Oryctolagus cuniculus: one gene and its partner. The protein of the gene in region 1 purifies or fractionates together with the protein of each later gene. This does not show direct contact. Links are inferred from orthologs where the notes say so. Each region holds a gene or a part of one and is shown in the gene's direction. Other genes may lie near its edges. The genes, in order: RABGGTB and RAP2C.

The links.
Region 2: the proteins of RABGGTB (region 1) and RAP2C purify together in Homo sapiens (co-immunoprecipitation; 3 studies listed by BioGRID and IntAct, counting the BioPlex papers as one, with this or other methods). This does not show direct contact. The link is inferred for Oryctolagus cuniculus from reciprocal best matches to the Homo sapiens genes RABGGTB and RAP2C.

The regions. Positions count from the first base shown.
Region 1 is NC_091438.1:96,204,176-96,207,987, reverse strand, and holds part of RABGGTB (geranylgeranyl transferase type-2 subunit beta), read left to right. Parts: intron 1-97; coding exon 98-203; intron 204-957; coding exon 958-1,010; intron 1,011-1,381; coding exon 1,382-1,492; intron 1,493-2,131; coding exon 2,132-2,257; intron 2,258-3,218; coding exon 3,219-3,368; intron 3,369-3,677; coding exon 3,678-3,812. UniProt on the Homo sapiens protein: Catalyzes the transfer of a geranylgeranyl moiety from geranylgeranyl diphosphate to both cysteines of Rab proteins with the C-terminal sequence -XXCC, -XCXC and -CCXX, such as RAB1A, RAB3A, RAB5A and RAB7A.
Region 2 is NC_091453.1:109,804,762-109,809,160, reverse strand, and holds the start of RAP2C (ras-related protein Rap-2c), read left to right. Parts: upstream 1-1,462; 5' UTR 1,463-1,603; intron 1,604-2,832; exon of another isoform or gene 2,833-2,877; intron 2,878-2,961; exon of another isoform or gene 2,962-3,102; intron 3,103-3,218; 5' UTR 3,219-3,765; coding exon 3,766-4,038; intron 4,039-4,399. UniProt on the Homo sapiens protein: Small GTP-binding protein which cycles between a GDP-bound inactive and a GTP-bound active form. May play a role in cytoskeletal rearrangements and regulate cell spreading through activation of the effector TNIK.

The DNA.
Region 1 (3,812 bases):
TTTTCGGTATACACTCAGACATGCTTTATAACTTCAAAGATAGTTGAGGAGAGGGCATCAGAACAGAGGGCATTAACTTAATGTTTCTTTGTTGCAGATTCTTACTCTGTATGATAGTATTAATGTTATTGACGTGAATAAAGTTGTGGAATATGTCCAAAGTCTACAGAAAGAAGATGGTTCATTTGCTGGAGACATTTGGGGTAATGTCATATTTAGTCCATGCTTCCCAAATACCAATATTAAAATGTCCTCACTTCGCTTAGAGCCAGTTTGTAGATTTTTTTTTAAGTATTTCATTTTTTCAGGTCCCACGAAGCAGCTGGTCTAATTGGAATTAATGGTCTGCTGGAAGTTCCAGCATGCACTGTGGTAGTTATAACAGCATACAGGAGCACTGGAACAGAGGGGGCCAGTCTAAAAGATAAGGTAGGTGAAATTTTTTTCCCCCAATATTTGGTGGTTTTGTAAAGTTTTTAAAAAGTACTTGCTGGAAAGGGAAAAATACTTCTAAAAAAACTTTACAAACTTACTGAATATTTGTGTGGAGGGAGGGAATAGGATTTTTATTTGATAAATGTAGATAATCTGTGTTTTAGGGCTAAACACAGTGCAGGCCAGAAAGACCAGCTGCTTCATGGGATGTGAAAATCTACTTTTTATTAAATAAGGGTAAGTTTTATTTTTTTTTTTTGAAATTAGCTAGTTTTTTTTCAGATGTTTCCTTCCCTTTCTGGACCCCCATAAACAACATTGATAATTTGCTGTTATTTTTGACAGAGTAGTTTTTTAGTTATTAGACTTAGAACTTCAGATTTAAGCAGTTCTGACTACCTGATGTTAAGCTTGAACTCTTGGAAATTCAAGCTAGTAGGTGTACAGATTTTGTTTTTAGGTAACTTGTACTATATCAGAAGGAAGTCTGATAATGGTTTGATTGATTCCTTTTTGTTTTAGGAGAAATTGATACAAGATTCTCTTTCTGTGCGGTGGCAACGTTAGCTCTGTTGGTAAGCTTTGAAAATACTTAAGGTTTGTTTATTTGGAAGGCAGAGTGACACACAGAGGTTCACTCCCAATTGTCCACAAGAGCCAGGGACTGGGCTAGGTCAGAGCCATGCATGGTCTTCCATTCGGTGGCAGGGATCCCAAATACATGAGCCATCACTGCTGGGTGTACTTCACAGAAAGCTGGATTGGAAATAATAACTGAGAATCCTCTATTCACACACTTTGACTTGGGATATGAACAGATGGGTGGCCATCCCAAGTGTGGCCCAGCCTGCTGCACCACAGTGCTTGCCCCAAGCTTTGAATATTGAAATGATGAAGCATCCATGAGGACTTTTGAAATTTAACAGGCATATTTCTTTGTTTATAGGGGAAGCTTGATGCAATTGATGTGGAAAAAGCCATCGAATTTGTTTTATCTTGCATGAACTTTGATGGTGGGTTTGGTTGCAGACCGGGTTCTGAATCTCATGCTGGGCAGGTAACTTAATTCAGATTAAATTTTAGTATCAATTTTGAAGGATTTACCATTGTGATGACAGGGAAATGTGTTAAGTGTAATATCATTGGGGTGTAACATTGGATGTTAAGAATTACGGAAAGCTTTTCCACAATATTTTGCATTATGTACCATTCTGTTAGTAGATCTCTCTGGCCCAAGCAGTTGAACCGAAATATATTCAATTTTTAACTATGCAGTTGAAAACATTTCTACCTACCATGAGCCAAACGGGCAGCTCATTGCTTGTGCCAGAGTACTTTTTGTGGTTGCTCCCTTATGCATGACTTTGCATTCCACAATTGTAATACCTGTGGTCAACTTAAGACTAAGTTTTTCATTGGTCTGAGTAGTATAAAATCTCCCATCATATGTAGCATCCCTTTGTGCAGTATACTTACACTATACTTAACCTTATCTGTAGGTCTCATAAGAGACATGCCATGACATGTATTTTAGTAGTATACTTGGATTTTTGCAATTATTTAAAATTAGAAATGTTGAATCATCAGATCAGAAGGCAAAAGTGATAAAAATGTTTTAATAATTTGAATAGTTGGATTTTGTCATTATTTTACTGTCACATTATTATACACATGTACTTTATGTCTGTAATTTTAGATCTATTGTTGCACAGGATTCCTGGCTATTACTAGTCAGCTGCATCAAGTAAATTCTGATTTACTTGGTTGGTGGCTTTGTGAACGACAGTTGCCTTCAGGTGGACTTAATGGAAGACCAGAGAAGGTATTATTTCATAAGCTTGAATCAATGCCACTTCGTAGTAATGAGGAAGTCCTTGTCCTTCCTCCTATTGTGACTTTTCAACTTATCATTTCTTCCATTATAATATCTCAAAAAGCCTGCCAGTGGCAAAAGTAGAATCCAAAAGATTGAAACGCTTCTGCTCTTGGATACACTTAGTGTGCCCCTGAATCATGCGTAAGAAATTTGGGGAGCCAGGCTTTAGATCTAAGATATTAAGGCAAATTGGTGCCTAGTTGGAAAGCATTGGAAAATGTTGTATGTAGATTATTGTAACATTCTCAGGGATTTCTTTTTTTTTTAATTTTTTGATGACTTTTATAAAGATTTATTTGAGAGGCAGAGGGAGCAAGTCTTCCATCTGCAGAGTTGCAGGGAGGGAGGGAGGGAGGCCTTCTGTCTGGTTCACTCCCCAGCTTGCCACAACAGCTGGAGCTGAGCCCATCCAAAGCCAGGAGCTTCTTCCTGGTCTCCCACGGGGGTGCAGGGGCCCAAGGACTTTGGCCATCTTCCCACTGCTCTCTCAGACCATGGGAGAGTGGATCAGAAGTGGAGAGTCCCAGCACCCAATGGGAATCTGGCTCTGCAGGTGGTGGCTTTACCTACTGCAGCCCCCTCAAGAGATTTCATGAACCTCTCATCAGCTTCTTGGTTAATGGGCTGAGTTAGGAATTTATTGATGCAGTTAGAAATGTAGATATATACTTGTCACGGAGCCCTGAAACATTTAGAATGGGTACTTATAAATTGGAGTTAGTTTTCTCTTTCCCACTGGTTATCTTTTAATTATAAGCAAACATTGCAAACATATTTTAATGTTTTTTGTTACTTCTCACCGTTTGAATATCAGATTGCTTAGATGAGACTTCACTTTAAATTGTTACTAATGACTTAAGAACAGAATTAATACTAGTAGTTATTTGTTGCTTTCCCCTACTCCTAGTTACCAGATGTGTGCTATTCATGGTGGGTGTTGGCTTCTCTAAAGATTATCGGAAGACTTCATTGGATTGATAGAGAGAAACTGCGGAGTTTCATCTTAGCATGTCAAGATGAAGAAACGGGGGGATTTGCAGACAGGCCAGGAGATATGGCAAGTATATTTCTAATGTTTATATATCTTTTTAGTGTTGCATTACTTTCATTGATGTAGGCATTTCCAGGCATGTAACGTCAAAGCAGTGTACTTTACTGAATAGTGTCAGAAAAAATCTCCTTGCCTATTAAACAAGTTAGTAAATATTATATGATAAAGGTCATATTTTGAAGCAGGTTTAAGTTTATTTCTGAAAATGTTAAAGCCTGTACACAAAGTGGAATTGGCTGCAGTATAAATAAAATATTTTGAAGCAAGGTTTTGGGGGAGACCATTCATTTTGTAATCTGTGAATTTTTGTTTTAGGTGGATCCTTTTCATACATTATTTGGAATTGCTGGATTGTCCCTTCTGGGAGAAGAACAGATAAAACCTGTTAATCCTGTTTTTTGCATGCCTGAAGAAGTGCTTCGCAGGGTGAATGTTCAGCCTGAATTAGTG
Region 2 (4,399 bases), on another chromosome or scaffold:
AATCATTTGCTTGAGGTCACACTGCTACACGAAGGGAAGCTGCAATTTAAATGTCTCTGCCTCATTTCAGAGCCCTGAGCCTCAGTTGCCGGGCCTCACTATTCTAATTGGACTTTATACTCTTATTGCCTAATGAAAGTACACTGGCAAACAAGTGAGATAATGTATGTGAAATTACTTTTCTAAGTATAGAGATGTTTGAGGACAGCAAGCAGGAGTTTGTTTAAATTGGGCAGGCCTATCTGCTGACCCCCTATCTTTTATTTTTTATTTTTTTTATTTGAAAGGCACAGTTACAGAGGGGAGATAGAGAAAGATCTTCCATCCACTGATTCACTCCCCAAATGGCTGCAAAGACTGGAGCAAAGCCAGTCCTAAGCCAGGAGCTTCTTCTGTGTCTCCTACGTGGGTGGCAGGGGCCCAAGGACTTGAGCCACCTTCTGCTGCTTTCCCAGGCACCCCAGCAAGGAGCTGGATCGGAAGTGGAGAAGCAGGGACAGGAACTGGCGCCCTAGTGAGATGCCGGCACCAGCACAGCAGGCGGTGGCTTTACAAGCCACATAGCCGGCCCCCTGCTGACCCCTAGGCAGAACTGTCTATTGACAAAGTGTTGATTAACAACTTCCTTTCATTTCTCCTTTAAATACATGCTAATTTTATATTTACTGCTTCCTTTCCTAAAAACAACTGATCATTGTTCAAAAATTAACACGAGAAAGGAAAGTTCTTTAATATCTCTCACCTATAATTACTTTGTTTCAGATTTCCATGGTTATATAACTGTCACGCACACTCTTATTTGACACTAATGGGAGCAACTGTACATTTTTCAGTATCTACTTTAGCCTTACAACATATCTTGGCCTTATTTTCATAATTAGCACTTACAAATATATTTTTCTCTTTTTAATAGCTGCATACTGTCCTATTTTGCGAGTATATGTACATAATTTATAAGAATCATCGACTGTAAGACACTGAAGTCATTTCCAATTTTGCATTTTTCTAATGAATGCTGTAATGACTTCCCTTCCTAAGAAAGTTTAGAAGGATCTTCAGACTGAGTGTGACACTTGCCAACCCTGTAGTTAATGAAAGTGACCCAGTGGGAGTGTGTGGCATGGGGAGGAGTAAGTTTCACTGTGTGGACAAAGAACGCTCCAAACCAGGGCCAACACGTTCGGGGATGATTAGAGCTGCCAACAGGTGGGACAACTTCAAAAAGAACTCCCTGTTTTCACAATTTAGTAATAGAGCAGAGACTGGCTACGATTGCTCAACGCTGGCTGGATCAGAAGAGGAATTTCCAGACTCGGTTACAGGCACGGCTGGTGGAAGGCTGTGGATTCCACCAGACAGTCTGGAGACAGCCAGACAGGGAGATGAGCAGCAGAGCTCCAAATCAGGCAACAGCACGTGTGGAAGGAGCGCTGACCTATGGGGAGACTCCTAACTCACAGACCAATACTCTTCCAGCAGGGGGCAGTGCCTCAGATATCTGGCAGGCCCCAGGCCAGCTGGAGCCAGAGCTGGGGACTCCGTGGGAGAGATTGCACCAGCTTGAGGCCGAGGAGAAACTGAACTAAATAGTCCCTCGAATACTGTAAGTGACATTGGGGTATACACAGGGAGGGACAGTGGGACTTCACGCTGCTGTGATTCGCCTGTTTTCTAGTGCCTAGCAATTTGCGTAATAAATCGTTTTTTTAAACAGTTTGGTCATTAGGGCTTGCAAGAAGGGAATTTGGGGAGACTTTAACCCGGCTGGCCCCCGAATCTGTTAGATTTCTGGGTGCATGCTTTAATCAAAAAGGGAGTGACATGCCTAAAATACAGCCTAGCATTCTGGCCCAGGGGCCCTGTGGATCTGACACAAAGTTTACAAGTAGAAAGTCAGCAAAGGGAAAGATATGTAACAATTCTATCGAAAAGTAGAAACTTAGTGTTTGCTAACAGTGGAATTAATATTTGTATTAAGATTCCAATGACGCTAAAGAATGGCCTTTAAAAAAAAAACACTTGAACGTGGAAGAGACAACATGCAAATTGCTATGCATGCAGATGATCGGAAATTTAATAGAAATTAGTCTGCAGGTCCAAAGGATTTTCCATAAACGCTTCCCTGAATATTGGTTAGCTTTTCTGCTGTGCAGGCATGGTTGAAATCAAATGGAGTACCATAAATTCTTTTTCTAATGCTCTTTTCTACCTAGCCTTGTGCTTTTTTTTTTTTTTAATTTAAGGAGTGACTTTAATATTTGCTAGTGGAGTCAAGGCAGATTTGCCAGAAGATGATAAAACTACTGTGTGTATTTAACTGTCAGGTACGGCTAAGCAACACACCACATATCAAATCAGAGCCATAGCGAAGTCTAGGAATATGTTGCATGCATTTCTTAGAGGCATATCAAGTGGAAAAAATACCAGCAAAGAGAATAAACTTCTGGGCGGTTTTATTCTCCCTGCAACTTCTAGTCCAGGGACATGAGGCGCTCTCCCGGTCGCTAGATTGTTAGCTGACGATCCGGCGCGGGCCAAGGAGCGGATCAAGTCCTCAGGCCCAGCTGCGGCAGGCTGAAGCTGAGGCAGAGGAGCTGCAATGGCTTTGGGGGTGGGACGGTCAGCAGCAGCCGCGGGCGGGAAGGCCCAGACGCCGGAGGTTCTCGGAGAGGCCTTTTCCCAAGGCCGGAGCCCCGACCCGAAACCGTCCCCGGCCGGCTCGCTGGCTCGCAAGCTTGCTCACTCGCTCAGCAGGGCGCGGCCCCAGCGCCACCCGGCTCGCCCCGAAGAGGTGGGACTTTCCCCCACCGGAAGTGATCCCGTCCAGTCTCGGGGAACTGGGGCACCTCAGTCAGTGTGTCAGGGAAACCCTTCCGGGTGTGTGTTGGGGGGTGGGGTGGGGGGTGGGTAAGAAAAAAAAAAGAGGTGGGTTCGCCAGGAGTCCCTGCGGCCGCCGCCGCCGCCGCCGCCGGACGGCCCCCGCCCCTTTCCCCCTCGGCGAGCAGCCACGCTGGGGCGGCGGTGACACACAGGAGCCAGCGGGTGGCCATGGCCTTGGAGTGACAGAGCCTCCCGGGCGGCTGGGCGGGTGCGGACGGCAGGGTAAGCGGCGGCGGCGGCGGCGGCGGCGGCAGCCTGGTTCGGGGGAAGGAGAAGCCGGGGCCTCTGGATTGGGGCGAGGGTCAGGCGGGTAATGCGTGTCTTTCTCCCCACCACAGGCCGGACGACCCCCGCTGGAGCCGGGGCCCAGAGACCCGCCCGGGCTGCAGTGACGGGAGCGGGGCCCGCAGGCCTGGGCCGGCTCGGCGGCAGCGCTAGCAGGAAGCGGGGTCCCTGGGCCCCTTTGTGTGAAGGGCGGGGGAGGGCTGCCGGGCAGCCCCTGGCTGCGGGCTCCTTGGACCGCCCGACTGCCCGCGGGGCTGTCTTTCCGCGGCCCCCACCCCTTTCCCTCCTTGGGGTGCGCCGCGTCTCCCCACCCTCGCTCGGCTGCTCCCAGCTCGCCCTCCTCCCCACGCCCCCTGCCTGGGCTTCAGTTCCTATAGGAAGGGCATTACCATCCCATCCCCACCCACCCGACACTTGGCTCTTTCCCCTCCCCCTCCCGTAACTTCCTCTTCTTCCCCGGTTGGGCCCTCGGCTCCTCTGCACTCTCCTCGCCAGTTTGCAGATTTCCGCCCACCTTCCGCCTAGCCGCGCCGCAGCCAGCGCAGCTAGCGGGGTGTTCTTTTCCCCCGCGTCGGGTAGGAGTTGGTGAAGGGGAGACTCATGAGGGAATACAAGGTAGTGGTGTTAGGGAGCGGAGGGGTTGGCAAATCTGCCCTTACTGTGCAGTTTGTCACCGGGACTTTCATTGAGAAATATGACCCCACCATTGAAGATTTCTACCGCAAAGAGATCGAAGTGGACTCTTCCCCCTCCGTGCTGGAAATTCTGGACACCGCAGGAACTGAGCAGTTTGCCTCCATGAGAGATCTCTACATCAAAAACGGCCAAGGTTTCATCCTGGTTTATAGTCTGGTTAATCAACAGTCTTTTCAGGTAACCAAACCAAGTCTTGTAATTTGTTGGAAGGGGGTGTGGTAATCCTGATTTACCTCTGATTTGCTGGAACCGCGCATTCAGGACTGTGTTTGGCTTTTGAAAGTTAGACATGGCGCATTTTTGAGGTTACTCCTGGCGTGGAAAAGTGTCAGGTTGTTTCTAGAGACAGAGTACTGAGGTATCATGCAGCCACGAATCTTTTCAAGTTATTTTTAAGTCGAAGGAAAGAAAAGACCAGGAACAGATGGGTTGTCTTTAGCTTAGAATGTAACCTTTTGGAAGTTTCTTGAGTATTGATTAACCCATTCAACAAAACAACCTTTAACAAATAATCTTGTGCAAATAGAGGGCTTTGAAA